Linked DNA regions of Oryzias latipes. The protein of the gene in region 1 interacts with the protein of each later gene in a pairwise test. Links are inferred from orthologs where the notes say so. Each region holds a gene or a part of one and is shown in the gene's direction. Other genes may lie near its edges. The genes, in order: psma1; keratin, type I cytoskeletal 13; ccnh; vcp; pomp; rad54b; hsd17b14.

Evidence for each region.
Region 2: the proteins of psma1 (region 1) and keratin, type I cytoskeletal 13 interact in binary tests that used the Homo sapiens proteins (3 or more experiments, as listed by UniProt). The two-hybrid records come from large-scale screens. The link is inferred for Oryzias latipes from reciprocal best matches to the Homo sapiens genes PSMA1 and KRT15.
Region 3: the proteins of psma1 (region 1) and ccnh interact in binary tests that used the Homo sapiens proteins (3 or more experiments, as listed by UniProt). The two-hybrid records come from large-scale screens. The link is inferred for Oryzias latipes from reciprocal best matches to the Homo sapiens genes PSMA1 and CCNH.
Region 4: the proteins of psma1 (region 1) and vcp interact in binary tests that used the Homo sapiens proteins (3 or more experiments, as listed by UniProt). The two-hybrid records come from large-scale screens. The link is inferred for Oryzias latipes from reciprocal best matches to the Homo sapiens genes PSMA1 and VCP.
Region 5: the proteins of psma1 (region 1) and pomp interact in a two-hybrid assay, tested with the Homo sapiens proteins (2 studies listed by BioGRID, with this or other methods). The link is inferred for Oryzias latipes from reciprocal best matches to the Homo sapiens genes PSMA1 and POMP.
Region 6: the proteins of psma1 (region 1) and rad54b interact in a two-hybrid assay, tested with the Homo sapiens proteins (2 studies listed by BioGRID and IntAct). The two-hybrid records come from large-scale screens. The link is inferred for Oryzias latipes from reciprocal best matches to the Homo sapiens genes PSMA1 and RAD54B.
Region 7: the proteins of psma1 (region 1) and hsd17b14 interact in binary tests that used the Homo sapiens proteins (3 or more experiments, as listed by UniProt). The two-hybrid records come from large-scale screens. The link is inferred for Oryzias latipes from reciprocal best matches to the Homo sapiens genes PSMA1 and HSD17B14.

What each region holds. Positions count from the first base shown.
Region 1 is NC_019864.2:7,545,114-7,549,132, reverse strand, and holds the start of psma1 (proteasome subunit alpha type-1), read left to right. Parts: upstream 1-1,219; 5' UTR 1,220-1,391; coding exon 1,392-1,394; intron 1,395-2,233; coding exon 2,234-2,278; intron 2,279-2,379; coding exon 2,380-2,481; intron 2,482-2,718; coding exon 2,719-2,822; intron 2,823-3,899; coding exon 3,900-3,988; intron 3,989-4,019. UniProt on the Homo sapiens protein: Component of the 20S core proteasome complex involved in the proteolytic degradation of most intracellular proteins. This complex plays numerous essential roles within the cell by associating with different regulatory particles.
Region 2 is NC_019859.2:29,293,854-29,297,915, forward strand, and holds keratin, type I cytoskeletal 13, read left to right. Parts: upstream 1-1,262; 5' UTR 1,263-1,436; coding exon 1,437-1,847; intron 1,848-2,129; coding exon 2,130-2,212; intron 2,213-2,291; coding exon 2,292-2,448; intron 2,449-2,522; coding exon 2,523-2,684; intron 2,685-2,774; coding exon 2,775-2,900; intron 2,901-3,368; coding exon 3,369-3,589; coding exon of another isoform or gene 3,590-3,593; exon of another isoform or gene 3,594-3,599; intron 3,600-3,686; coding exon 3,687-3,690; 3' UTR 3,691-3,700; intron 3,701-3,783; 3' UTR 3,784-3,986; downstream 3,987-4,062.
Region 3 is NC_019867.2:14,756,282-14,760,483, reverse strand, and holds the start of ccnh (cyclin-H), read left to right. Parts: upstream 1-1,402; 5' UTR 1,403-1,581; coding exon 1,582-1,698; intron 1,699-1,797; coding exon 1,798-1,920; intron 1,921-1,998; coding exon 1,999-2,072; intron 2,073-2,256; coding exon 2,257-2,470; intron 2,471-2,544; coding exon 2,545-2,708; intron 2,709-2,992; coding exon 2,993-3,063; intron 3,064-3,160; coding exon 3,161-3,266; intron 3,267-3,393; exon of another isoform or gene 3,394-4,202. UniProt on the Homo sapiens protein: Regulates CDK7, the catalytic subunit of the CDK-activating kinase (CAK) enzymatic complex. CAK activates the cyclin-associated kinases CDK1, CDK2, CDK4 and CDK6 by threonine phosphorylation.
Region 4 is NC_019867.2:13,580,823-13,583,419, forward strand, and holds part of vcp (transitional endoplasmic reticulum ATPase), read left to right. Parts: intron 1-120; coding exon 121-223; intron 224-371; coding exon 372-505; intron 506-697; coding exon 698-833; intron 834-1,893; coding exon 1,894-2,006; intron 2,007-2,208; coding exon 2,209-2,373; intron 2,374-2,476; coding exon 2,477-2,597. UniProt on the Homo sapiens protein: Necessary for the fragmentation of Golgi stacks during mitosis and for their reassembly after mitosis. Involved in the formation of the transitional endoplasmic reticulum (tER).
Region 5 is NC_019878.2:12,147,822-12,151,622, reverse strand, and holds pomp (proteasome maturation protein), read left to right. Parts: upstream 1-1,431; 5' UTR 1,432-1,537; coding exon 1,538-1,540; intron 1,541-1,800; coding exon 1,801-1,898; intron 1,899-2,028; coding exon 2,029-2,089; intron 2,090-2,529; coding exon 2,530-2,631; intron 2,632-2,700; coding exon 2,701-2,794; intron 2,795-2,873; coding exon 2,874-2,941; 3' UTR 2,942-3,301; downstream 3,302-3,801. UniProt on the Homo sapiens protein: Molecular chaperone essential for the assembly of standard proteasomes and immunoproteasomes. Degraded after completion of proteasome maturation. Mediates the association of 20S preproteasome with the endoplasmic reticulum.
Region 6 is NC_019874.2:17,754,228-17,758,495, reverse strand, and holds the start of rad54b (DNA repair and recombination protein RAD54B), read left to right. Parts: upstream 1-1,468; 5' UTR 1,469-1,711; intron 1,712-2,190; 5' UTR 2,191-2,215; coding exon 2,216-2,353; intron 2,354-2,620; coding exon 2,621-2,801; intron 2,802-3,879; exon of another isoform or gene 3,880-4,268. Other genes in the region: RING finger protein 151-like, read right to left, coding at 52-69. UniProt on the Homo sapiens protein: Involved in DNA repair and mitotic recombination. May play an active role in recombination processes in concert with other members of the RAD52 epistasis group.
Region 7 is NC_019866.2:3,307,114-3,311,128, reverse strand, and holds the start of hsd17b14 (17-beta-hydroxysteroid dehydrogenase 14), read left to right. Parts: upstream 1-1,215; 5' UTR 1,216-1,385; coding exon 1,386-1,467; intron 1,468-1,542; coding exon 1,543-1,581; intron 1,582-1,666; coding exon 1,667-1,758; intron 1,759-1,854; coding exon 1,855-1,921; intron 1,922-2,019; coding exon 2,020-2,111; intron 2,112-2,834; coding exon 2,835-2,939; intron 2,940-3,009; coding exon 3,010-3,077; intron 3,078-4,006; coding exon 4,007-4,015. UniProt on the Homo sapiens protein: Catalyzes the NAD(+)-dependent oxidation of L-fucose, yielding L-fucono-1,5-lactone, which rapidly converts spontaneously to L-fucone-1,4-lactone. Can also act on D-arabinose and L-galactose, with lower catalytic efficiency. Does not use NADPH.

The sequences.
Region 1 (4,019 bases):
AACAGTCAACCCTGACGTTGGAATTAATAACATTGTTTTGTTTTGTTTTGCTTCAATACTCTTTATTTAGGATTCTTTTTACCAAGAAATGTTGATGCAACCTCTTTCTCCATTTCTCGGCTTTCCTTCTTCAAATTCATGTGTAAAGAAACCGCAGCGGGGTAAACGGTGACTATAACACAAATATGACAAATGCTGCTGCTGTTGTTCGCCTGTCAGCACATCCCTTCAGGGGTCACCTCAGAGATCAGCTTTCAAATAAATAAATAGACTACAGGGATGATGTGGAAATGATGTGAATTTAACCTGTCTGCTCTGAAAGCTCGTTAAGTAATTGAACACAAACTTCCTACAAAATCACCAGAGGGTGAAATATTCAGACTGAAAACAATATAAAATCATGCAAAACTTTATTATTTATTTGCAGATTTTTGCAGGTTTGCTGCACTGTTTTTTATCTTTGTTTTAGTTGATTAAAGTTTTAGAACAATAAAACTACTAACAGTTTTCTTCATGTCCAGATACAACTGTCATTAAATCAGTGTCTTTAGCACAATCACATCTCAACCATGTGGTCCAGATAGTAAATTATGAAATACCACCATTGCAGAATAAGATGCCGAAATCAATCTTTGGTTTGAAGCATGTGCAGTGACATTTGGATTTTCTTTTCCTTTGGTAAAGACATGCATGTTTCACGCTTAACCTAGTACTGTTGCACAACTAGACATGCTTGTTTTAAAAATATTAAACATCAAAATTGATAGAAAAACATTTACTCTTTAGATACTATTTGACCATAAAGACTTTTATAGAATTTGTTTCTTGTGAAATTATTGTTTATTGTTTTTAAAGTGATGGTTTTTGTACCCCAAAAAATGTTTAAAAGGAAAAAAAAGGGAAAAAATAAGGAAAAGAATTATTAATATTAAGTATTTCAGTGGGGGTTCAGTGTCTTGCCCAAGTATTAAGCATCTTACACAATATTTTAAATAATATGGTTTTTAATTAGTCTATTAACTGGTATGGACGCCATTAGGTTAGTAACGTTTTTTTATATTTTTAAAGTTTAGAAGAATTGTCTAACTAGTATTTTAATTCTGACGTATTACTTGTGTTTTGTTTATTATGTTGACATTTAAACCACGAGTCTGTTTGTTTGTGTTTTAATCCTATTCTATTCTATTCTATTCTATTCTATTCTATTCTATTTTATTCTGCTCTATTCTATAGCTCTGCTGGTTCTGTTCGGCTCTTCAAAGGCATCGATCATTGAAATCATCGATCGTTTGAAATCGGCTTTCTGCTGCTTTTCCCTGCCGTCTGCCGAGGAACCCAGGAAACTAAATCGAGATCCCGGCGCAGGCGGAGGAAGCGAGACTTTAGCAGAGATGGTAAGTGTGAGGGAAATTTAACGACAAATCCTCCGTTCGGTACCAGAAAACGTTTCTAGGAATGTAAGAAAACGCATTCGATCCTAAACTGTTACTTTTTAAGCCTCAAGAAATTGTTAAAATATTTCCATGCTAAAGTTAGCTTAGCTAAGTTGGTCTGCACTGTGAGTAAGCAAAACAGCCGCTAACATTAGCTTTAAGTATTAGCTCACTCTAAACAATAGAAGTTAGTTAAGTACTTTAAACTGTTAAAGTAAAACAGGTTTAATAGTGAGAAAACATTGCAAATAGCAGATTAGAAATGTAATATTTTTGGAATACCTTGTTGCGAACAAGCTAATCCTAACAGCTAGCTAAAAGTTAGCATCGGGAGTCCAGTCATGTCTTCACTTTCGTTTTTCTTCAGCTCTTCGCTTTCTTCTAGATTTAAAAACACAACGTAGTCCGTCAGTTATGGAGTTACAGCCATTGGGATCATTTCACGTATCATGATGATGATATTCATATTAAATCATTTGATTTTATTACAGATAATAAGAACCGAACTAAATTAGTAGAAGCAGCAGGTAGCTAGCTGGTTTGCTGCATCCACTGCTGGATTCAATCGTTTTTCTTGAGGATGACACGAACAGGTTGATTAATTATTCAGTCTGTAGTAATTGAAACGCGTCCTTCCAATCCTTATGAGACGTTCTGACCGCGAACACGGTGCAGTTGGTTTGGAGTCTAGAGACGAGAACACTAACCGTACTAATGCAGGACAACTATGTAAGCCTGGCTGTAGATCATGAGAAGGATGCTGTGTTATTATCATAACGCGCGTTTGTGTTCCCTCCTAGTTCCGCAATCAGTACGACAACGACGTAACGGTATGGAGTCCTCAGGTAAGCTGCCCTTTACTTACTGGAGCGTGTGTTGTTGTTTGTGTGTTGGTTTTGTCCGGCTGTGTGTAGTTTGACTGTTTGGTTTGTCGGTGCAAACGCAGGGCCGCATTCATCAGATCGAATATGCCATGGAGGCTGTGAAACAAGGTTCTGCAACCGTCGGACTGAAGTCCAGAACTCACGCGGTCCTGGTTGCACTTAAGGTAACGTCACTCAACACGACTAGAACTGCTGCCAGCCTCCATTACGCTGAAACGGCTCTTTTCACGTGCTCAACTCTCCTTTAGTGTTATTTGAGCCTTAACCTCCATGACAGTGTTTGGTTACACCCATTAATATTCATACTAGCCGGCACTTTCCTGTCTTTCTTATTAATTAAAACATGTCGTTAAAGATCTGTAACACACCACACATTACTGTTGTGCCTTTTTGGTCTGCAGAGAGCCCAGTCTGAGCTGGCTGCCCACCAGAAGAAGATCCTTCATGTTGATAACCACATTGGCATCTCCATTGCTGGACTGACGGCGGACGCTCGGCTGCTCTGGTGAGTTGCAGCGACTTCCATGGACCTGAACATTTTTTCCATGTTTTCTTGTGTTAAACTTCTTGTGTTTGGGGAGAAATGTCACTTTTCATGGGTGTCAACTGTACATCTAAACACTAACATTGGTTAATTTATGGCGTTACACAGATGACAAACAGATATAGAAATCACAGGAGAGCAAGGCCCTCTACAAGCTCTTGGTAAAAGTATTTAATATATGAAAGACTGGATGTGCCTCAATTACTTCAGCTGAACAAACACAAAACTGAGGTTATTGCCTTGGCTGATGTTATTCGCATGTATTTACTTGCAACCAGCACAAAAACTGCAGCCAAGATGCGCATTGCCTGCACGCATTTTAAGTGCATCCATTTTTACATTTTGTCGTATTTAAAATGAAAGTTAAAGCTACGCTCCTGGATTGGTGAACAGTGTTCTCTGCGTTTGATCCATCCACTGGAGAAGCGATGAGCTGCAGAAACACATATTTGGAAAATGATGAATAGACACTTTTTGTTGTGTTTGGGGCTAAAGAGAAGTGGTTTGATGTCATATAGAGCTTCAATCTATTCATCTAAAAACCACCAACTAGGCCAGAAACATGGGTGTAGTCATGGATACAGTCCTATGTTTTGATAAATGCATTAAGGCAGTCACCAAATCTGCAGACTAACATCTTAAAAATAGTTCAAGTATTAAAGATCGGATGTCTTGAACAGAGCTTGGAGAAACTAGTTGATGCATTCACGTTTAGTGGACTTGATGACTGTGACAGTGTTTTTACAGGACTAGCAGAAAAACCAATCAGGAAACTGCCTGTAGAGCCGATGAGAGCCCAGTTCACTTTTCTCCTCTCTAATAATGAGAAACAACCAACAGGCAGCTCTCATTCTCTGCCCGGACTACAGAATCCGGAAACAAACAAACGTTGCAGTATGGAGCTCTGTTCTGTAACGATGAAGAAGCAGCTGAATGTTTGCTGTTGGCCTCATCATTAGCAGCATCTACAGTCAAGTGCTGAGCACGAACCTGAGAACGGCCTTTTGTCTGAAGACCAAAACCTTTTCTGTCTTGCAGTAACTTCATGCGTCAGGAGTGCTTGGACTCCAGATTTGTCTTCGACAGGCCTCTCCCCACATCCCGCCTCGTGTCTTTAATCGGCAGCAGTATCCTCTAAAAATACACTCTCCTGTTCAA
Region 2 (4,062 bases), on another chromosome or scaffold:
CAAATCTGGTCCTCTTTGGTTTATAGACAAAGTGGTCAAATGTGGAGGCTCCTATTGTTGCAGATCCTGGATTTAATATGTTGCTTCCTTAAATGAAAAACCTAAAAACGTAATTGAACGTCGATCCTCTATCTATAACATACAAACAATCACTTGAGAATCCATAAGAAAAATGCAGGAGTCGCTGTGTTCAGAAGAAGACACAGAATCCTATCAACAATGGAAATGTCATCATCTGCTTTATCAATCAATAAAATGCAGTGAATGAACCAAAGAGAAATCTAAATCGATCATGGAATGACTTTTCTTCCTTTGGAGTAGAGGACTTGGGCGGGATTGGACCCACCTCCTCCAGCGTTAAAAGTACAGCAGCATGGATGGAACAGATCTCTGATCCTCGGAGCACAAACCAGATTGTTTTTCTTCTCAAAGTGAGGCCATCGCACAAACAACGGTTTGTCTCCATGCAAGTGTGTGCAGCTTTGGGGGGAGTTGAGCAGCAAACTTTGCTGGCAGCTCCAAAGGAGAATGACTTCACTTCTTCCTGACGAGGCAGCCCTCCCCCCGCAGCCGATGCCAGATGTTTCTGTGCAAAGAACCAGGCTGAGATAAGCTCCACACACTAACACACATCAGGTCAAGACCAACACATGTGAGACGGGATGTTGTGTGATTTCCTGAACAATGAAGGGGGGTGAATGATAATGTGTGGATAACATCACATGTTTGTGGTTCGAGGCTGCAAAGCCTGCAAGTATCCAGTCGGCTATGTGAGCTCTGACCACATACAGACAAAATGATTGAATTTAAACAGAGCTGATAACAAGAATCCATCCTGGCTCCTAAAGAATTCCTGAGAGGGCCTCTGACTGCTCAGACTATCAGAACGCATTTAAACTCAGCTGGACAAACAAAGTGAAATAATACACCTGGGAGGTTTAAACCGTAACTGTGGATATTATCAGGATGAAACATGCCGCTCACACTGACTATTGACTAACGGAGGGGCAACAAAACAATAAATCTACCCTTCCTTTTCTCGCACTGAGCTGCCAAGTGACTGGCATGATCAGGACAATACCTGCAGGTATTTCTGAGCACACGTTACAGTTGCTTGTGCTCACATTCTACAAGGAATCATCAGGGTGCCCATGAAGATTCTCCTCTGATCTGCTCACATTCCTCACCACTTTCCTCACAGGGGTGGAAAATAACCAAATCCCAGAGCTTAAAAGAAAACAAATGACGGTTTTGCACAGCCTGAGCCTTGACTGCAGAAACTTCCTCCTCCTCCCCACGTTCAGAGCCCGCCCCACATTCAAAGCTATTTTAACGGCCGTCCTCCCTCCATCAAACTCCACAGTCCTGCAACAGTCCACAGCTGTGAAACACTCGTCTCCTCGTCTTCTCCTCTGACAAGCAGAAAGTCAGCCGCCATGTACAACAGGAGCATCGCCAGCGGTCCTGGGCTCACCATCACCAGGCAGAGCCGCAGCTACACTTCAAGCGCTGCTCCCCACAAAGCTCACAGCGTGTCCGGTCTCAGCTTCATGGGAGGCTCCCGCATCTCATCTGCCACCGGGCGTACCGTCTCCTCTTCCTTTGGAATGGGTGGAGGGTTTGACCTGTCCAACGCCATGGACCAGAGCTCCGTGCACCTGAACGAAAAGGCCACCATGCAGAACCTGAACGACCGTCTGGCTTCCTACCTGGACAAGGTTCGCAGTCTGGAGGCGGCCAATGCCAAGCTGGAGAAGCAGATCAAAGAGTACTATGAGCAGAAGGGCCCGGCAGCACAGAGGGACTACAGCAACTACTGGGCCATCATCAATGACCTGAAAGACAAGGTATGGTCTGTGCCTCTGCCACCTGCAAATGTTTGCCGTTCCTGTCAATGATTTCCAGACAACACTTTTTTAAAGTGAACATATCTGTGTTTTCTTTGCGGCTGAAAGATTCCACAAATGAACCACAAATATTCAGCATGACAGCTTAACAGGAGGAAGTCAAACGTGCCCTAAGGACACAATTCAGTTGATGTAACAGAAACATCTGAAGTTGTGTAAACAGTCATCAAAGCGTGCCGCTCTGCACATGCCTGACACTAACTAACCCCATCCCCGCTGCAGATCAACGGTGCCACCGTCCAAAATGCCAACATCCTGCTGCAGATCGACAACTCCAAACTGGCTGCTGATGACTTCAAAACCAAGTAAGCACTGATTCAGAGGGCCTTCATGCAGGCTCTAGCGGGCAGTTGTCTAACATCAGGCCTCTTCCTAACTTACCAGGTTTGAGCACGAGCTCATGATGCGACAGTCAGTTGAGGCTGACATCGCTAACCTCCGCCGCCTGCTGGACCAGACCACCTTGACAAAGGCTGACCTGGAAATGCAGATCGAAGGTCTGCAGGATGAGCTGGCCTACCTGAAGAAGAACCACGAGGAGGTCAGTGATGTGACACCTGGTTTTTATAGTCTCTGCAAACAGACACCAATGCTGACGTCCCCTGATGTTTGCAGGAACTGGCAGCCATGCGCTCTCAGCTCACGGGCACAGTCAACGTGGAGGTGGACGCTGCACCTCAGCAGGACCTGAACAAAGTCATGGAGGAGATCCGTGCACAGTATGAGGCCATCACAGACAAACACCGCCGCGACCAAGAAGCCTGGTTCACTGAGAAGGTAACAGGAGTTCCTCTGTCAGCAGGCCAACCTGTCATCACACGTATAATCATACAGACCTCTCACTCTGTCTTCTTTTCTAAATTCTAGTCATCAGCTCTCAGCAAAGAGGTGGCCGTTAGCACAGAAGTAATCCAGACATCCAAGACAGAGATCAATGACCTGAGGCGCACACTCCAGGGCCTGGAGATCGAGCTGCAGTCCCAGCTCAGCATGGTAAAGACAAACGTTTGTTTTAAAATCTTTCCTTATATGACCAAAATCCCCAGATCGCCCAGAACAGAGGGCGAGGAGCGAAGGGGAGGATGGGAAAGAGAGGCAATCCTTAAGGAATGAAGGGAGGATGGAAGGTGGGAGGGAGACACTTTGTTCTGGGAAACATTTCACAGACATCTGCCTGAACTCTGGAAGTCATAAAAAAGCTGGAGGAATGAGAGGCTGTTTCTGGTTGGGGTTTGGGTGCCCAGCTGCAGTCAGTCATTCAGCAGGAGCCTCCCACTGCCATTGTGTCACTGAGGAGGAGAGGCAAAGGGACACTTACCTTCAGAGCCAGCTCTCTTTGTTCTCTTACAAAACAGGAGAAAATGCAAAGCAAACAAACCGAGTGACATACTGCATCCAGGGTGGGGCGCGCTGAGCGCAGCTGCAGGATCAGTGATCCACAGCTTTTCTTTACCCCAACAGAAAGGTGCTCTTGAAAACACGTTGGCAGAGACAGAGGGCCGGTTCAGCGCCATGCTTAGCGGCTACCAGAACACAATCAACATGCTTGAATGCGAACTAGGCCAAGTGCGCGGCAGCATTGAGCACCAGGGCCAGGAGTACAAGATGCTGCTGGACATCAAGACCAGGCTGGAGCAGGAGATCGCAACCTACAGGAGACTGCTGGAGACTGAGGAGGCCAGATAGACAAAGGTGCACACAATCACAAACGTTCAAGTAGAAATACATGATTTGATCCTCTTTGACTCATCTTTGTCATCTCTTCTTCTCTCCTTTTAGATAAATGACTGCAGGTAAGTTGGTTTATTTGAGGAAAAGTTCACAGGAGGAACTTGAAGAATTGTGCTCAACCAGTTTCCTCCCTGCCTCTTAACAGGAGGCTTCAATGACACATTCACAACCACCACTGTGCCCACGTCCAGCCAAGAAGTCCAACATGCAGGCCAGAAACCAGAGGAGACCAAAAGGCTCGTTTTCCCAACATCTGCTGTCATGAGAAGAAGAGCTGATGTGCGGCGCTGTGTGTGTGTTCATGTTTGTGTGATCTGCCAAAGAAAATAAACCTGCTGGTGAAGATAAGACCTGTGTTGTTCTAACTTCACTGTTCTCCCACGACTTCCAATTCTTTTTCCATGACCTCACTTTGTTTGTGTGG
Region 3 (4,202 bases), on another chromosome or scaffold:
ATTGATCAGAGCTGTGGAGGTTTTTCCTTTAGCCTCGTCTGCACTGTCAATCTTTCCATAACTTTGCAAAATATCTGGGAATGCTTCTATAAGCTGCTGAAATACTGACGGGAGGGCCGATTATGGGATGGGACTAACTTAATCAGGCAGCTCTAATGTGTGATCTGGTAATGCCGAAGTCTGATTTTCCATTAAAATGCTGCCTGTCAGACTCCGTATGATTTAGATTTACTCACAAGATGGTATTCCTTTGATAAAAAATATTCTAAACCACCAGATACTCACACACAGAACAATCAACTGCAGTGTGCTCACATTCAAAGAATAAGAGTCATTCTGCAGAGTTCAACATTTAAAGAAAGCAGTCAAGAAAAAAGAAAAAAAACGTGACAAAGATGTAACACAAGACTAAAGGCTTCAAATGAGTCATCACACCCCAAATGATGCGAAATAGCAGGTGGAAAGGTGCCTGACTGTCAACAGCAATCGTGCACGCACACGCAGACAGAAGGGCGCATGGACGTGCGTGTGCACGTGAGCAGACGAGTGCGCAAACATACAGTAAACGCTGCAAAGGTGTCATCAATAATGCATCAGCGCTTCATGTTTATGCAATTCTCAGGGCAACCCGAGCCATGTATATACGGGCGAGAGCCGTGCTCGCAGCAACTGCACCGCACGTAATAAGGCGTTTGTCTGTCAGCTCAGACGCACGCGCCGCGTCTCTACGCCTGTGGAAAGATTAGTGTTATTTCTTAAAAAAAAAAAAAAAAAAAAGTCTTCAGCACATACCTGTTAAAGCACTATTTCTTTGATTTTGGTTTATGCAGGCTTGAAGGGCTTCATGATAACACGGCACTAAGGCGGCACTGATATGCAAATTATCAGCTCCAGCTGAATGCTAGGGCATTTATTATTCATAAATTACTCATGTTTATGCAAATTACGGTATGCAGAAACACTACTGGTGGCGGAGTGGCTCTGGCTAAAACATACTTTCTGAGTCTGTTGGAGACCATCTACACTGGTACAATGTTACAATAGCAAAAAAAATAAACAAGGATGTTTGTACTTTAAATTATGTTTCAAAATGATTGTGTGCACATCAGTGAGTCCATTACATTTAATTATTCTGATTTTGTTTAGGAGGAAAGACTTAAAGGTCAATATTTACAGAAAAATAATTGCTTTCCACCTCAACAATTTGTTTGTCCAATTCATGCCGTTAAAAATAAGTGAGGTAAAAATGTGTACACTTCAACATTTTGTTAACTTTATATTAAAGAAACATAATTATAAATAAGTTTAAATAAAATGAGAAATTGAGTATTTCATAAGGAAAAATCATAGCACGCACTAATACAGGAAGCACGGTAAATGCGTCATCAACAAGGGTCCGCATTACGTAAATATCGCGCGACGTCCTCACTACTACTTGGGGGTGAACAACACACAGCCCGATTTAACTACTTTTACACTACGCTGATTACTTTAATCGTTCAAGGATTTCCGTGTGGTAAAATACATAAAGCTACTTTAGGATTATGTTGTGGTTTTAGCTCTCGTAAATCAGAAGCCGCCATGTATCACAACAGCTCTCAGCGAAAGTACTGGATCTTCAAAAGTGAGGCTGAACTTGAGCAGAAAAGATGCAGTGCCAATGAGGCATTTCGTAAAAAAGTCATAGAAAGTGGGAAGGTAGGTAACATTCTTTTAAGCATTTTAAAACGTTTAATGTAAACGGTTTGGGGGAAAAACGCGATTTTCTTTTTTAATTAAACATTTATTTGAAATCAGGCAGGTATGTATGAGTCCATGTTCTTGAAACGGAACGAAGAAGACGTTTTATTCCGCCATTATGAGAGGAGACTCCTGGACTTCTGCAGCGCTTTTAAGCCTCCAATGCCCAAGTCTGTTGTGGTGCGTGTGTGTCTCATTTCTTTTTTTTCATGTGTACAGACTCGACTAACTCTTACTGGAGCCCATCTTTTTTTCTAGGGCACTGCCATCATGTACTTCCGGAGGTTCTACCTCAACAACTCTGTTATGGAGCACCACCCAAGGATCATCATGTCAGTGACTGTCACTGTGGAAAGGATAAGACATTAAACATTCGGTTCAAAGATGCGAATGGTTCATTCTAAAAGTTTAAATGCAAATGTGATGTTTCTGCAGGAAGATGGGAACGATTCCGTTTGTTCATATATTACAAACATGCATGTACGTTTCCAGCTGTTGACGTACCTTCTTGTCCAGGCTGACGTGTGCATACCTGGCCTGCAAAGTGGACGAGTTCAACGTGTCCAGCACCCAGTTTGTGGGCAATCTCCTGCATGAGACGCCAGCTGGACAAGAACGGGTTCTTCAGCAAATCCTGGAGTATGAACTGCTGTTAATCCAACAACTCAGTTTTCATCTCGTGGTCCACAACCCCTACAGACCGCTAGAGGGTTTGCTCATCGACCTCAAGGTTTGTACCTTACAGAAGAGAGCTGAATGTCACTCCAGATCGCCAGTTTTTAATCCGTGTTCTTTGTCTTTTAGACTCGCTATCCTGCACTGGAGAACCCAGAGTCACTGAGGAAGAGTGCTGATGACTTTCTGACCCAGGCGGTCATGACGGATGCCGGACTGCTGTGTTCTCCCTCTCAGATCGCTCTGACAGCTATTCTGAATAGCGCTTTAAGAGCTGGCCTCAGCATGGAAAGGCAGGTTTGCTTTAGCCTTAACAACAATGTATGTGAAATTCAACTTAATTAGAAAAACAAATTAGGTTTTGCAAGTTGAAACTTGGAATTTAAATGGAAAAGGTATACATTATTCTGGAAAGAAATTGATCAAATGAAGGTGGTGACAAATATTTTGAAGAAAATTCTCTGAACATTTCCTCCTTTTCAGATATTTCTAAATTATAAGCTCAGTTGGTGCAAAAAAGTTTTTTTCTTATATATATTTTTTAAAACTAAAATCCTATTTTATTTTCCTTCCCCAGCTACCTGACTGAGTGCTTGGGACTGAAAGACGACAAAGATTCCCTCTCAAAGATTTTCGACTTAATGAGGCGTAAGTCAACTTGCACTTCAGTGTAACACCACTAGATGGCAGAGTTGTGCTGTTATTCCTGTATGATGTTTTGAATTCATGCGTTTGGCACATGCAGGAACAAAAAGCCTCCTCAAGAAGTATGAGCTCCCCAAAGCAGAGGAGGTGAACGTTTACAAACAGAAGCTGGAGAGGATTCATGCAGAGTTTAGCAGTTCAAGCAAGTAAGAAACATAAAAACACACATGAGCTCTTTTAAGTCAGGATTTCAATCTTTAAACATTGTCAATCTGTGATTCCTGCTGCATTATTTACCCACAACAATAGCGACCGAGAACAACAATCCACGCGTATGTAGTAACCGTTTATTTCAGCCAGGTTGTTGTATCTAAGATGCAAAAGGTTCAGTATTGGGTAGAAAAATAAAAATGAACACATCCTCGTCTGTTGTATGAAACCCCTACATCAGTGGTACAGCCGATGAGTCGCCTGGGCTCATCTGCCAACACTCGGTGAGGTCCGTGGTATCTTCAAGTGCAACTACAGTAAACAGTTTGGTAAACTATGACAGGCACAGATCCAGACGTTGCAGCTGCTTAGAACATGAAGGGAGGCAAACAAAGCCGACCCTTTATGACTTTGAAGTTTAGAAATCGCTGCATGGCGGGACTTTTCAGGGTGAATCGGTGGGAAAAACAGTCAGAGCAGAGGTGTACTCGGAGGACAAAGCAAAAACGCCATCTTGTTGTAATGGCGGAGAAACGAGGAGCTACAAGAAATCCAGGCTTTCAATGACATCAAAGGCATAAAAGGGGTTTAGGTGATGGTTGTTGGAGCAGCAGATACGTAGGCCCAAACATTGTCGCTGTATCCATTCAGGGTTAATGCATGCACAAGGCAGGCTACAGGTGTATACTACAAACCTTTAGACTAATCTCTGCTCCGCTATATCCTACACAAACACTTCTTTACAAGCCTAAGTAGGTAATAACAGACAAAAGCAGCGTAGAAAAAAAGCAGGAAGTGGTTTGGGTGCTGTAAGCAGGTTCATACATGAAGACAGTAACGGATATAAATAGTTTGGAAGAAGAGAACTTTGTCGAATCGGGGGATGTCGGTGAGCAGAAATGGAGTTAAGGCTTGTGTTGATTCGTTTCTTT
Region 4 (2,597 bases), on another chromosome or scaffold:
GGTACTGAATCACACAAGTGGTTTTGTGTGTGATAAATGGGATTGTACACTTAAAATTAAAAAAAAATTTTTTTTAAATAAAGCTCTCACCCCACATTTTTTGTTTTCGTTTTAAATAAGCCCCCTCGTGGAATCCTGCTTTATGGACCCCCTGGAACTGGAAAAACTTTAATCGCCAGGGCTGTGGCCAATGAAACTGGAGCGTTCTTCTTTCTTATTAATGGTATGAATATATCCGTTTGGATGTAAAGTTTTCTAGTATGGGTGAGATGATGCTGAAAGTCAGTGTTCTGATTGGCTATGCTTGTATTTATCTGAATCGTTGTGTTCAATGATATTTTCTTGTTAAAGTATCGTTCTCTCTATTTCAGGCCCGGAGATCATGAGTAAGTTGGCTGGAGAGAGTGAGAGTAACCTGAGAAAGGCCTTTGAAGAAGCTGAGAAAAATGCTCCTGCCATCATTTTTATTGATGAACTTGATGCAATCGCTCCAAAGAGAGAGAAGGTGAGTAATGTAGGGTGGTAACTTTGTCGGTGCACTATGAGTTTTAGGTTCAGGCCCTTGAAAGCACAGCAATTCTTTGTGTATCTTCTCTTTTAAATTCATGTACTAGTGACTGTATTGGCTATGTGCTTTAGATTAGCTGAGACAAAAAAAATATAGACACATTTTACTAATGGCACTCTGCTTTTTCAGACTCATGGGGAGGTGGAGAGGCGCATTGTGTCACAGCTGCTGACTCTTATGGATGGTCTGAAACAGAGAGCTCATGTGATTGTCATGGCTGCCACCAACAGACCCAACAGCATCGATCCGGCTCTCAGGAGATTTGGTAAACAGTCTTTAGAAGCCCTTAGGTCGCTCGTTTTAGATTTCACCCCGCAGCCTTTTATTATTTGAATGTCGACTAGGCCTGCACAATATACCGCAAATTTATTGTTATCGCAATATCAAGCTGTGCAATATGCATATCGCAAAAGACAGCAAATTTGCAATAAATGGTTACCTTAGATGTGGCCAAACAATCTTATGGCAACTTGAAGTGTTTAATGGATTGAAAGTATCCCTTTCTGCATTTGAGCAATCAGGTGGACCCCTTCACGTTGTTAACTAATCGGATTGCGCCCTATTATGTTGTATGTTCGCCTCCTATGTCAACAAGGGTCATTTGTAGTATAATTTTTAAGCTGTTGTAATGGAATGGGAATAATATTTTTGGTTGTTTTGCTAATTGTTTATATACCGCAAATTATATCGTTATCGCAATATTAATCACTGATATCGCATATCGCGAGTTTTCTTCATATCGTGCAGCCCTAATGTTGACTTAAAATGATCCTGTGCAGTTAAGACTTTTGAACATCAGACCTACTTTCAACCATAGAATTTAAGTTGCACTCTATTCCTAAATGTTTGGGTTTTTTTAAGTTTCATTTTAATAAGAAACTTTTTCTTGTTAATGAAACAAATTGTTTTTCCAAACCAGGTTTTCTTAAGAAATCCTGTGGCTTGTTCATTTTGTTTGAAAATGCATTGCAAGTTAAGCTGCTAACATGTTGAAACAAAATTTCTTGCTGGCACTTTAGAAACTATTGTCATCCCAGTAAGGATGAAAAAGTCTATTTCAATTCAAATAAATATATTTTGATTCAATTCAAATTTATAAATTTTCAATTAAATAACTTTTCATATTCTGATTTAAAGAAAAAAAAGAGAATTCCAATTTTTAAAATGGAGGTCAATGTTTTGCCTGGTAAAGAAATTCAACAAATTTAATGAATTAAGTTAGAAGTTTTTAAGTTGATGATCTTATAAATTTTAGGTTTTTAGATAGATGGTAAACTTCTTCATTTTCATTGATCCAATTTTATTTTCACACCTTTCCATTGTAGGCCGTTTTGACAGAGAAGTGGATATTGGCATCCCTGATGCAACCGGCAGATTGGAGATTCTGCAGATTCACACCAAGAACATGAAACTGGCTGATGATGTGGACTTGGAACAGGTTTGTGCCTTCAAAAGTCCTTTATTTTTGTCCAAAATACAACATGTTCAAGTAGATGCCTTTTTCTTGATAAATGATAAATTTCTTTTTTCTATTAGTTTGTGAATATTTTAAGTTAAAATGTAATTAATCATTATCGCAGGTTTTTTTTACATAGTGGTGTAACTTTGGTTTCTACAGTGAATTTGATTGTCTTTTGCAGGTTGCCAATGAGACCCATGGTCATGTAGGTGCAGATCTGGCTGCTCTCTGCTCTGAGGCTGCTCTCCAGGCCATTAGAAAGAAGATGGACCTGATCGACCTTGAGGACGAGACCATCGATGCTGAAGTCATGAACTCACTTGCTGTTACCATGGATGACTTCAAGGTAAACCTGTAATGGAATCGTTTGAAATCATATAGTAGTCCATTAGTACACACAGCTAGCACTGGGCTGGATCAATGCTAACCCGATCAGTGCTGTCTTGCAGTGGGCTCTGAGCCAGAGTAACCCATCAGCACTGAGGGAGACGATTGTTGAAGTTCCCAACATCACCTGGGATGATATTGGAGGTCTGGAAGATGTTAAGAGAGAGCTGCAGGAGTTGGTCC
Region 5 (3,801 bases), on another chromosome or scaffold:
TACCATGGCTTTTCCTGAAAATAAACAAAATGTGAAAATAATGTGGGAGATGGTACAGAAGTCATTCTTCATTGTGTGATGGAAGACAAGCGTCCTCTTCTGATTCAAAGCACTTTTGAACTTTAGTGCAAATTCAGTTGCTGATCAGCCGCTCCCTCTAGTGGTTGGTGCTGAAAAATGCATAGTTTTCTGAAAGTGTTTACTCAATGAAATGTCATTGTATAACAGATACCTTCCAAGATCCTTAGTATTATTTCAAAGTAAAACTTTTGTTTTCTTTATTTTATTTAAAATCTTCTTCCTTAACTTTTATTTTGTGAACCTTTTATTGTAAAAGGTGTTCCAGCAGTTTGCCACACTGATGACAGCGATGTTGCTAGATTACGCAATTCTGCAATTTGTTACAAAAACATTCTGAAGTGATCACTTCAGAAAAATCCATGAGCTAATGAATAAATATGGTTTCGAAAAAAAGTTAGATTTAGATCTAAGTTTTTTGGTAATTCCCTCTAAGATACCTGATGCTGTAAGCTGAAAAAAATATTTAATTGTTGAAATTTCATTTTAAAATCAAGCAAAGATATTAAATATATTAAAGGTTGGAGGTGGTTTGATGTTTTTTAATACAAGTGTCACTTCTTCGTAATTAGTTAAGTGCTTCATACTCAATTCAATATTAAAAACATTAAGATTTATTTGTAAAACACAACTTCTTGTCCCACTTTTAGCTTCGTGACACAGAAAGAACATGAACCCCAGCAAAGGACTCTGCAGGCTGCATCCACAACCGTTCAGAGGGCCTGTGTTCTCATTTCTGTGGGGTGTCAGACTCCCCAGCATGAGTAAATTCAAATACAAAACCATAAACAGAAGCCAATATTTCTCACTTCTTATGCAGCGCTGAAAGGTTTTCAAGGTTTTCAAAAAGACAAAGACAATCTCAGTGCCAGCAGAAGTCCAGTCCTCAGAACTTTAAACCCTCAGTGGGTGAAACATTTTTTACCTCAGTCAAAAAAGACAATATTTTGCTTTGCACAGGTGCCTTACATATGGCCTGAAGTCAATCATCTGAAGTGAACAAAGAGAAATACAAAATAAATCAAATCTTTGATGTTTTTTTTTTTCATGGTAGTTTTTAATAGCCAACTAACATTTGTTTGTTTCAAATGTATGAGAACCACCGTAAGAAAAAGAGGGGGCACCCGGATTTGAACCGGGGACCTCTTGATCTGCAGTCAAATGCTCTACCACTGAGCTATACCCCCGTTGCCTGAGAGTTAGGCGTCTAGTTGTGGTATTTATCGTTGGATCAGGTGGACACGGTACATCCTATTCGCTGTTTCCAGGTATGTACGAATATTTTAGGGATCAAAGTTCCAATACCTACTATTTTTCACAACAGGAATAATAATGTAATGTTTAGCTTTATTTACGTTTGGCTGATGTTTGTTTTTTATTCCGGATGTGTCGTCTTCTTCGTGCGACCCAACCGGAAGTTCGAAGTCATCGAAAGTAAAGTGAGGAAAACTGAATCACAATGGTAATTGAGACATTTAAATCGTTATACTTAGTATTGTACATTAACCACGTTGATTATTTAATCTTATTTTCCTTTAATTTATTTAACCTTTCTGTACTGCTGCTTTTCGCTGTTTTTGTCCTTATACTGATGGGATGGGATTTCGATTAGTCACTTACGCTAATGCTAGTTAGCAGCAAACCTCCAGTCCACATCGCAAAAATGAATGAATTTAGTTTGAACTGTATTTTACAAGAAATGTGTGTTTTTGTGAACCACAGAACACCCGGGGACTTCGCTCACAATTAAAAGACAGCGTGCCTGTGGCCGGACTGTGCCCACAGGGATCGTACGGGATCCAGGACTCTCTCCGCAGCGGGTAGGAAACCGATCACCACGATGCTTCCTAGTTTCTGCTTTATGTTTATATGTTCTTGATAGCTAAAGAGCGTATACCTCCAGAAACATATGCTTTAATTTCATGGGTTGTTTTCTGTTCTATATGTTAGCTTCACCAGTGTGAAGAATGAGCTTCTTCCAAGCCATCCTCTGGAACTGTCAGAGAAAAATGTAAGTTTTTTGTGTCCATCCCTGTTTTTCACCAGAACTGTTTTAAACAATAAAAAATAAAACTTCAGTATAAAAATCCTCTCTTAGCTTTGGAATATATATGCAATGGTACTTTTTTCTTTTACTGGTCAGTGTTTATCCGTTTACATCTTGCTACCTTTAAATAAAAAGGATTAATCTACATTTTTACCAAAAACAATGACATCTATCTTTTATATGTACATCTATTATCTTTTGGAGAAAGATGATGCTTTTTCTACATCATCAATGGTTTGTTTTGATTGTTATAATGTTTTGTATTTAATGACATTTCATGATCTTTAATGAAAATAGTTTTTGCCATGGTGTTTTTTCTGAGATCTTTTAAAGCCACAAACAATGTTTTGCACTACAGTTAACACCCAATTAAAACTACATGATTTTGTTCTTGTGTGGTGTAGTTTGTGCTTAACCAGGACAAGATGAATTTCTCAACACTTCGAAACATCCAGGGTCTTCATGCTCCCCTCAAACTGCAGATGGAGTACAGGGCAGCCAGACAGGTATGTGGCAACAACACCCCATGTAATTCTGCTTAAGTCTCTAGTCAAAATCTTCATTTTGTGTTCTAGATCCAGCGTCTGCCGTTCTTACAGAGCTCTAATTTGGCTCTCGACACACTGCGAGGCAGCGATGACACCATCGGCTTTGAGGACATCCTCGGCGGTGAGAGCTTGAACTAAAAAGAGTCACAGAAAGTACTATAATTTACAATAATCTAACCATAATGACTGTCTTCCTGCAGATCCAGCTCAGAGTGAAATGATGGGAGAGCCACACATGATGGTGGAATACAAGCTGGGATTGTTGTGAAAGCTGCAGAATTCGCTACCCACTCAAATATTTAGGTTTCTGTTCCTAATTAGATTAAGTCATTCATTCTTACTGGAACATTGTAGTAAACATCTGGACAAACAGTGGGTCAGATTTTGGTTTGCATTTATGTACAAATAATTTCCAAGCAGCCATTTAGTGATACTTTTGTGTGAACGAAGTTGGTTGTTATTGCTAATAAATTTCATAACTTCCTTGTTCATGTGGATTCATGGCTCCAGTTTTATTTTTTTACCTGGAATCTTATGTTGAAATTAAAGCATGGAATTATTAGAGCGGAAGCTCTTCCTCTCACCATATGATGACTCAAGTGTTTAGTGATTAATAAATTGTTTCCTCCAAAGATACTTTCCTTAATTGATGACTGTCTGTGTGCAATTTAATCCAATCCTGTTTTCCTCAAACAGAATCACTTTTTTTCCCTCTGTGGGGTGTCTCGGGCCTTTCAGTAATAGAAAAAAATTAATCTGCTAAGAGAAATACAGTGGGGGGAAAAAGTATTTAGTCAGCCACCAAATGTGCAAGTTCTTCCACTTAAAAAGATAAGAGGTCATTCACTAGGTCCCCCTGTGTGGTTCTGAGATTTTTGACCCCACAGGGGGAGATCTTGCAGGGAGCCCAAGTCAAGGGAGATTATCAGTGGTTTTGAATGTCTTTTATTTCCTAACATTTGCTCCAACAGTTGATTTCTTGACACTAAGCTGCTTACCTACAGCAGATTCAGTCTTCCCAGGCTGGTGCAGGTCAACAATTTGGTTTGTGGTGTCCTTAGACAGCTCTTTGGTCTTGGCCATAGTTGAGTTCAGAGTGTGACTGTTTGAGGTTGTGGACAGGTGTCT
Region 6 (4,268 bases), on another chromosome or scaffold:
TCCTGTGCAGTTTACTTGTTTTTCTACTTATTTGCTTTTAATCTCTCTTACCTGAGGATTTGACTTCATCCAGCTCCTCCTGTATCTTGTAGACTTCACCTGCACCTGCTCAATCTATTTGATCACACTGTAGAGGCTCTCCTTCATCCTGAAGCAGAGGGTCTCCTGCTCCTCCTCTTCCTCTGGGAGAGCGTTTCTATGGAGAGCTAACTCTGACAACAATGGTGCAGGATACAGCCAGGCAGGCAGCTGTCGGACAAGAGCAGAGGGACAGACAAAAAAGCAGTCAAGTGTTTCACGAACTGTCTAAAGCCCAGTTGTTACACAGCCCTTAGAGATAATAGCTGCTCCCCTTAACGGCGAAAGTTATCTGAGGTTTCTCTGTTTGTCTAGAGCTGTGGGATTATCGTGGATTACACTCTTTTCGTCCCTGATTGGATTGCAAAGTACACACCATCGGATAGCACGTAGCACATGACAACAGGAATCAAAAGATCACCTTCACTGCCCATACTTATTACCCCTGTCCTTGAGTGTAATGGAATAAAGTCGAAAAGAAAGTAGTAAAAAGACCTTTCTAAAATGGTATGAAGTAAACCAAAGACTTCACAACTAAATGAAGTTAAACTTTCCAGATTTTCTAAACAAAATAGAGTTGGAAATATTAAAAATAGTGACTATTCACTAAAAAAAAGCTGCTTTTAATTCCACCAACAAACGGTTCAATTAATATTTGTTCAGATTTAGTCATTACTTTTCACTAAAATTATTATTTTGTTAAATGTACACCTCTATGCTCGATTTGCTGCTGTCATGGACCACAGAAAAGATCTGAAATACGTTTAGGAGAGCTACTCAAAATGTGTGGACATAAACTGGACTAATGCTTGGAATGTTAGTAAAAAATGTTGTTTAAATAACAAAATAAAAGAGGTGTCCTTCAAAATATCGCATTGTATATATCCTGCCAAAAAAAGAAGATTTGTTGATTTGTTGTTGAAAGAGGAAACCATTTATCACCTGTTTGTGGACTGCATACATACAAATATGTTGTAGATGGAAGTGGAAAATTATATAGAAAATTTAACTAAAAGAAACTGTACAATTTTTGGATAAAGAAATTATTCCGGGTTATCTTAATGACAATGTAGACAAAGATTGTATCTTTATTACATAGATGTTTTCATCATTTGCAAAATTCCATATTAATTAAGCCAAATGGTCCAACTCCAAACCTAAATTCCAGCATTTTTTGAATGAAATCAATCAGTACTGTAACATTATCAAACAACTGCAAAACCAAAAGGCAATTCGAACTGATTTGATTTTTTTTTTTTAATTTCATACACTGTATACGTATTTGTACGTATACATAATTTTTTTTTTTGTTTTGTTTTCTTTCTGCAATGTACATATTCAGTAACCCCTGAGACGTTCACTATTTTGTTCTATTGTGTTATTTGTCAATAAAGTCTGAAAAAAGAGGTTTAGGCATGCTGAAAGGATTTGGCTGTCCAGGTGTTCAAATCAAACATGCTTTTTTCTCATTTGACCACGCCTTTTGTTGACTTTTAACCAATCAGAACCCCCAAATAATTCAGCGGGAGACATGTTTCGGAAGTTGCCTTTTCCGCTTACACTGTGGGAAACTTATCAAGTTGAATTGGACGATATTTAAGTAATTCTCCAAAATAACATTTTCTCGTCGGTGGTATGTATCACGCATTGTTACAAAATATCATTACGGCCGATTTAAACTTTCGACTTGACCACGTGATAACAGTTAAACACAGCCTGTCGCTGACTTTACTTACTTCAAACTAGTCTAAAAGTAAAAATCAAAAACGACAAACGGAACCTGATAAAGGACAAAATACATAAATTGTCACTAGAGTCAACAAAAAAGTTTCAAAACTGTTTGTTGAAGAGTTTATATTTATATTGCGTTAATAGAAACACATTTTCTGATCCTGAGTTGCTAAAACGTAGAAATCTTTAGTCGGTTAAGGTATTCTAAATGCAAAAACTAAAAAAAATCACTAGTCTTTCTTGGTAAAGCATGCCTGTTTTAGATCACTTTTTTTCTTCTATACCTCTTTTTTCTTTAAGAATTTCAAAGGTGTAGCTATTGAAAAATTGCCTATGTTTTCCCCATTGTGTTTCTAAAATGTAGTTTATTTCTGTTTGTAGGGGGCACATTGACCTTTTATAAGGAATGAGGCGTTCAGGAGCACCCAGTCAGCTTTTGGGGAATGCAGTGAAAAAAACACGATTTGTTTCACCAGCTTCACTACTTCAAACTGAATCAAAGCCTTTGGCCCCCAAACCGGGTTTGGTGAATGCATTGGATAAAGTAAGTTCCTATTCACTGTGTTTAATTCTCAATTTTACTAATTTCTCTTTTTTTGAGTAGCTTTTGCAGTTTACCTTTTGGCATATCCCTTCAGGGGTCACCACAGTAAATCAGCTTTTCTAAATCACTAGAAGCAAAGAAATATCCACGTTCAGCGGTTTGACAGTCATATTTTTTTGCCTCATGTAAATTTAGTTGCAGGGATTACTAGGGACCAAAATGAGGACTCAAGTGTGTGTAATTAAACTGATATCACTTCTTTTGCAGGTCCAGAGAAGTCTATCTGTGGCAGTGGAAAGTGAAATAAATGTGTCTGCTAAAACCAGCCAAACTGCCCCTTTGTCACGGGCTCTGGCTCGAGTTCTCAGTGCTACTGACAGTAAAGAAAACGAGGCTGACACCAAATCCGTCCCTGGATTAAGAGATTTAACAGAAGATGAAAATAAAGGTATGTTTCTAATTGTTTGTGTAAATTTATAAGGCAGTACTACTTCTGTTGTATCCTAATGTTTTGGGGAGTCATCAGTAAAATAGTCCCTCTGGTCTACAGTAGAATTTTTTTTTTGCCCTTTATTTTTATACTTAATTTTTGTTTTTTGGTGGTTTTGATCTGACTCTTCAGGTAAACATATTTTGCAACCCAGTTTGTGTGTTTCATACAGCACTTTTTATTCAGTCTGACATACAAGTTTAATTTATCTACTGAAAAGATGTCAGTGTTGTAAAATAATATGCTTGACGGAATTAAATAATATCTGAATTTACTTTATATAACACTTTCAGCTAAACTGTAGAATTTATTCATCATCAGCATCAACAATATATATTTACTTTGTTTAAACTTATCACTTGTATTTCCTTAATTATCATAATAATGGGAAAACAATTTGGCTTTTTTTCTCTAACCTGCTCCACCAACATAAGCATGTCCCTTACAAAACTTTACAGACACATACACACACATACTTCCAAAAGGTTTTAGAAAACAATGCTTAAACATTCAAATTACCATTAAAGCTGACAGATCTAATTAGAACTAATACTGGATTTGGTATTGATCTTATAGACATTGCTAACGCTTTTAGTCAATGACATGACGTCTCACCTCCTGGGACAGACTGTCCAGGGTGTACACACCTTCGCCCAGCATAACCGTTACAGGTACTGTTCAATTCAATTCAATTTTATTTGTATAGCCCAAATTCACAACAACAGTCGTCTCGATGGGCTTAGTATCGGTAATTGAAAAAGTGAAACATGAACTCAAAAGGATCATGAATACAAAGAGTTCAATAGGAAAATTCTAAAATGAACTAACAAACTGACTAAGCTATACTGGCATCCCTGCCCTTAAACCCCTTTCACGGTAAGGAAAAACTCCTAAAAAAAACGGACTCCGGAAAAAACGAAGAAACCTCAGGGGTGCCTCCATGAAGGAGGGATCCTCCCCCAGGACGGACAGGCGATTTACCAGAACTCTTAGAGAAGAATTAACTTATCTAACTCTACAACTACATATTTAAAGTCCAGCAGACGAGCTTTATCCAGACGGAGTTGGGGGGACAGTAAGGGGCGAGAGTCGAGCAGGAGACAGGATCCAGAGCCAGGTGTCAGGGCAGGAGCAGAGACGAGGTACACGGTCAGGTGCAGAGCAGAGACGAGCCAGAGGCAGGATCCACAGCCAGGTGTAGGACAGTAGTACTGTTTGGTGATTTGGTTCGGACGGGTATCAAATTGCACAGCGCCGCTGAAATCGCGCTGCTGCCAGACCTTTGCACCACACCCGTCGCTTAAATCACACCACTGGACCTCAGCACGCGTCTCTACCATGTAATTAACTTTGAAAACTGGCTGCCTCTGCCGCGCCACTCGCGTTCGGTGTGAACACAGCATTGCCCTATCCATAAGACATGCT
Region 7 (4,015 bases), on another chromosome or scaffold:
GGTGTCCAGCACCCGGTGTCCAGCACCCGGTGGCCCCAATGGCGGCCGTCTGATGTGCCTGTCCTGTGGCCTTGGGGCCCAAACGGTGGGCTAACCTGTGCTCCGCAGTGATGGAAGGGCCCCCTAGGGTGTCCTTAGGACGGTCCCCTCCATTTGGGCCTTGGGGCCCAAACGGCGGGCTATCCTGTGCTCCGCAGTGATGGAAGGGCCCCCTAGGAGGGTCCCCTCCATTTGGGCCTTGGGCCCAAACGGCGGGCTATCCTGTGCTCCGCAGTGATGGAAGGGCCCCCTATGAGGGTCCCCTCCATTTGGGCCTTGGGGCCCAAACGGCGGGCTATCCTGTGCTCCGCAGTGATGGAAGGGCCCCCTAGGAGGGTCCCCTCCATTTGGGCCTTGGGCCCAAACGGCGGGCTATCCTGTGCTCCGCAGTGATGGAAGGGCCCCCTAGGAGGGTCCCCTCCATTTGGGCCTTGGGGCCCAAACGGCGGTCTCCTGCACCTTCTCTCTTGGTCCTACCGGTCATGCTGGGGAGGATCTGGTCCCCCTAATGATCACATGGTACACTTTGGCAGCGTGCTTGCATCTCCCCCCCCCCCCCCCCCCCCCCCCGGTGTGCATGTGCACGTGCACACTTATCCCTGTCTGCTTTATCCCTCCTCCTAACCCACAGATGGACAGATATCTTCCACTTATCTTGGTGTCAGATTTTCACTTTTGGATGTAACATTTGTCTTTCCAGCAGAAATAAAATATATATTTAAAACATAAAATATAATAAATAAATAACAAACAATTAAAATAAAAACCTAAAAGGGGTTTATACAGATATACACCTTGGCTGTCAGAAGATCCATAATAGTCAAATCTGTCCAACTCAAAAGGCTTTCAGCTCTTGTATGTTAGCTCGGTTGTTGGACAGGACAAGTTAAAATAAAAACACCACGTTTTTCGGGTCTAAAGTTATTTCTGGGCCTCTACCTTTTTATTTTATTTTTTAAAGGAGAAATAAAGACAGGCTGACTTAACAAATTTTAAAGGAACTTCAGAAATGTTTCCTCTTTTTATCTAAATTCTCACGAAACTGTCAGTTAAAAGGAGAAGTAATATATTCGAAAGCAAATTCCTTTCAGATTTTTAAAAAAAAAAATGTTTTTAATAGGATTGAAGAATTTCAGAGTTTCCAGTCTTCCCAGCGGCGCTTGAATGCAGCATAGTTTCTTTTTCGGTGCAGACGCAGACCTTTGCCCAGTCGCGGTGTTTCTGTGAGTCTCCCGCAGAGCACAGACCCGCCGCTCGCCTCTCCTGCTGCAGGACGCTGCGGGACGCACCGGCTCGCGGCTTTGCGGCGCTTCCGTGCACATCCGTGCAGGAAAAGCGCAAACACCATGTCCTTCCGCTACCTCGGCAAAGTTGTTATTGTGACTGGAGGGTCTAGAGGAATCGGCAGAGGGATTACCGAGGCCTTTGGTATTGGATCTGTCCACATTTCCAAATGGGTTGCAGGTTCAAGTCCAGTTCCCTGAAAGTCTGTTTGTTTTTCAGTGAGAAATGGAGCCAAAGTGGTGTTTTGTGCATTAGGAGGTCAGCAAAGAGACAGTCTTTCCCTTTTCTTGTACATTATCAAATTAGGCCTATTTGAAGTGTCTTAATTGTGTCACTATTGCAGAAGGTGACACTGTTGAGGCAGAACTGAACAGAACCGGACCAGGATCCTGCAAGTTTGTGAGATGTGATGTCACCAAGGAAGAGGACATCAAGGTGAAGTTCTGGGTTATTACAAGAATCCATCCAACCAGACTGGCGTTTTCTGTCATCCAGTCTGACGAGGGGCTTGTTTCCCACCCACCTCCACAGAGGCTGATCTCCTCCACCGTGGAGCTGCATGGACACATCGACTGCTTGGTCAACAACGCAGGCTGGCGTGAGTCTGCTCAAACCTCTCTGGCCTCCTGCAGACGTGTTGAAGACATTTTTGGAGACCTTTAGGTTGCTGTTTTGTTTGTTTGTTGTGATTTTCAGACCCTCCGCACAAATCCATCGATGACACCACAGCTGAGGAATTCAGAGATCTGCTCAACCTGAACCTCGTCAGCTACTTCCTGGCTTCCAAAGTAAACTTTTCTATGATTAGAAGAACATTTTATTTTACATTAGTTTCAATTATTTTGAATAAAACTGCAAAATCACTATAAAAAGAGCCTTTAGTAGTAAAAATATGAAAACATTGGTTCACAGTTTTCTTTTTGTGTTAGTTTTTAGTACCAAAGATGCTTTATGAGGACAACATTTTGTTTTAAGGATTTTCTTTTTAATTGTAGTGTATGAATGTCCAAAATAGAAAATGAACTTTTCCTAATAAGAACCCTACACTCTAAAAAAGAAATAAGTTTATCTAACTTAATTAAATCACATCATCCTCTCAACTCTAACTCATGGTGCAGAAAGAAAGAAACACAACAGTTTAAATTAAAACAGCTAGACAACAAAACACATGGACTCACACTTAAACCCCAATCTGCCTAGATAGGCAAAGAAAATGGTATCCCACAATTCTTTATCATGATGTCTTGACGCATTGACAGCTTCACACCGAAGTTACACCAACTTAATCAAATTAAGTTGATTAAAAGTAAAATAACAATGTCATTTTTAAGTTTAATGAACTCAAAAAACGATTTATTTTCACCAAACTGAATAATTAAATTAGATCAATGTGAAAAAGTTAATATTTCCAACTACAGCCCAAATACTTTTTTTAGAGTGTAACAAGAACCCTAATCAGAACACAGTTAGGACTGTTCTAACATCTTGTGTCCTTGTGTGTCTCCCTCCAGTTTGCGTTGCCATATCTGCGGCAGCGTCAGGGAAACATCATTAATATTTCCAGTCTCGTGGGCTCTATTGGTCAGAAAGATGCAGTGCCATATGTTGCCACGAAAGTGAGTGAATTTGGAAGGATGTTCTTAAGGCAGTCAGGCGGCTCCTGTAATGCGCTACTTTCTCCACTAGGGGGCGATCATCTCCATGACGAAGGCGATGGCTGTGGATGAGAGCCAATACCACGTGAGAGTGAACTGGTGAGGCATCCCAACTTCTCCACGCCTTACTTTAAGCTGAAGAATAAATTACTCAGTTGTGACCACATTGATAACTGATGTACATTAAGGCAGTAAAACCATCCCTTTGTGGTTTAGTAAGAACATTTATGCACTTTTTTAAATATTTTAATGCTACTTTTCAGATATTAATTGAAGAAAGAACAAAATATTAGTATATATGTATTTGTTTTTCTTAAGTAACTATGAATGTTTTCTTTATGGACTTCCATCTCTTGATACTAAATTTAAATCTTAATGTATGTGCCATAATATGTCCTTTGTTACTTCCTCTGGCTGTAACTCCCTAACATGTATTTATTTATTTATTGCACGCTTTGGAACTTCCATCCTCCCCTCTTTTTTTTATTGTACTCATTTTTTTACGTTCATCCAGACCTGAACTACAAACTACAAACAAAACGAAGCTGGACCAAGAATGAATGTACATTTTATTTGAGGAGAGAGGAAAAAATGTATGTTAAAGTGCAGGTACACTGCAGTCACAGAAGCTCCTAGTTTTTGTGAGCTTTTTCTAGTTGTGTTAAAAAACAGAACATTAAAAGCCTCATTTCTAATGCGGCAAACTAACAAACATTTAATTATATAAATTAAAAATTGTATCACATTAATCTGTGTTAAACATAGTTTCTGCAGAGCAGCAGGATTAAAAAAAAAATCTGCTCCTGATTCACAACAATATGAAAAAAGAAATATATAGAAGTTAAATTTAAAGCTTGTTTTTTTAAATCCTCAGAAAAAGATGTCAATAACATGTTGAAAACACCCAAAACTCTATTATCATCTAAGTGGGTCTTAAAGGATATTTACTAAAAGAAAGAAAACTGCTTTTATTTTGACATCTGTCGGTCTTTTCTGCCCTGCTAACACCTTTGTGTGATGTGGGACAGCATCTCTCC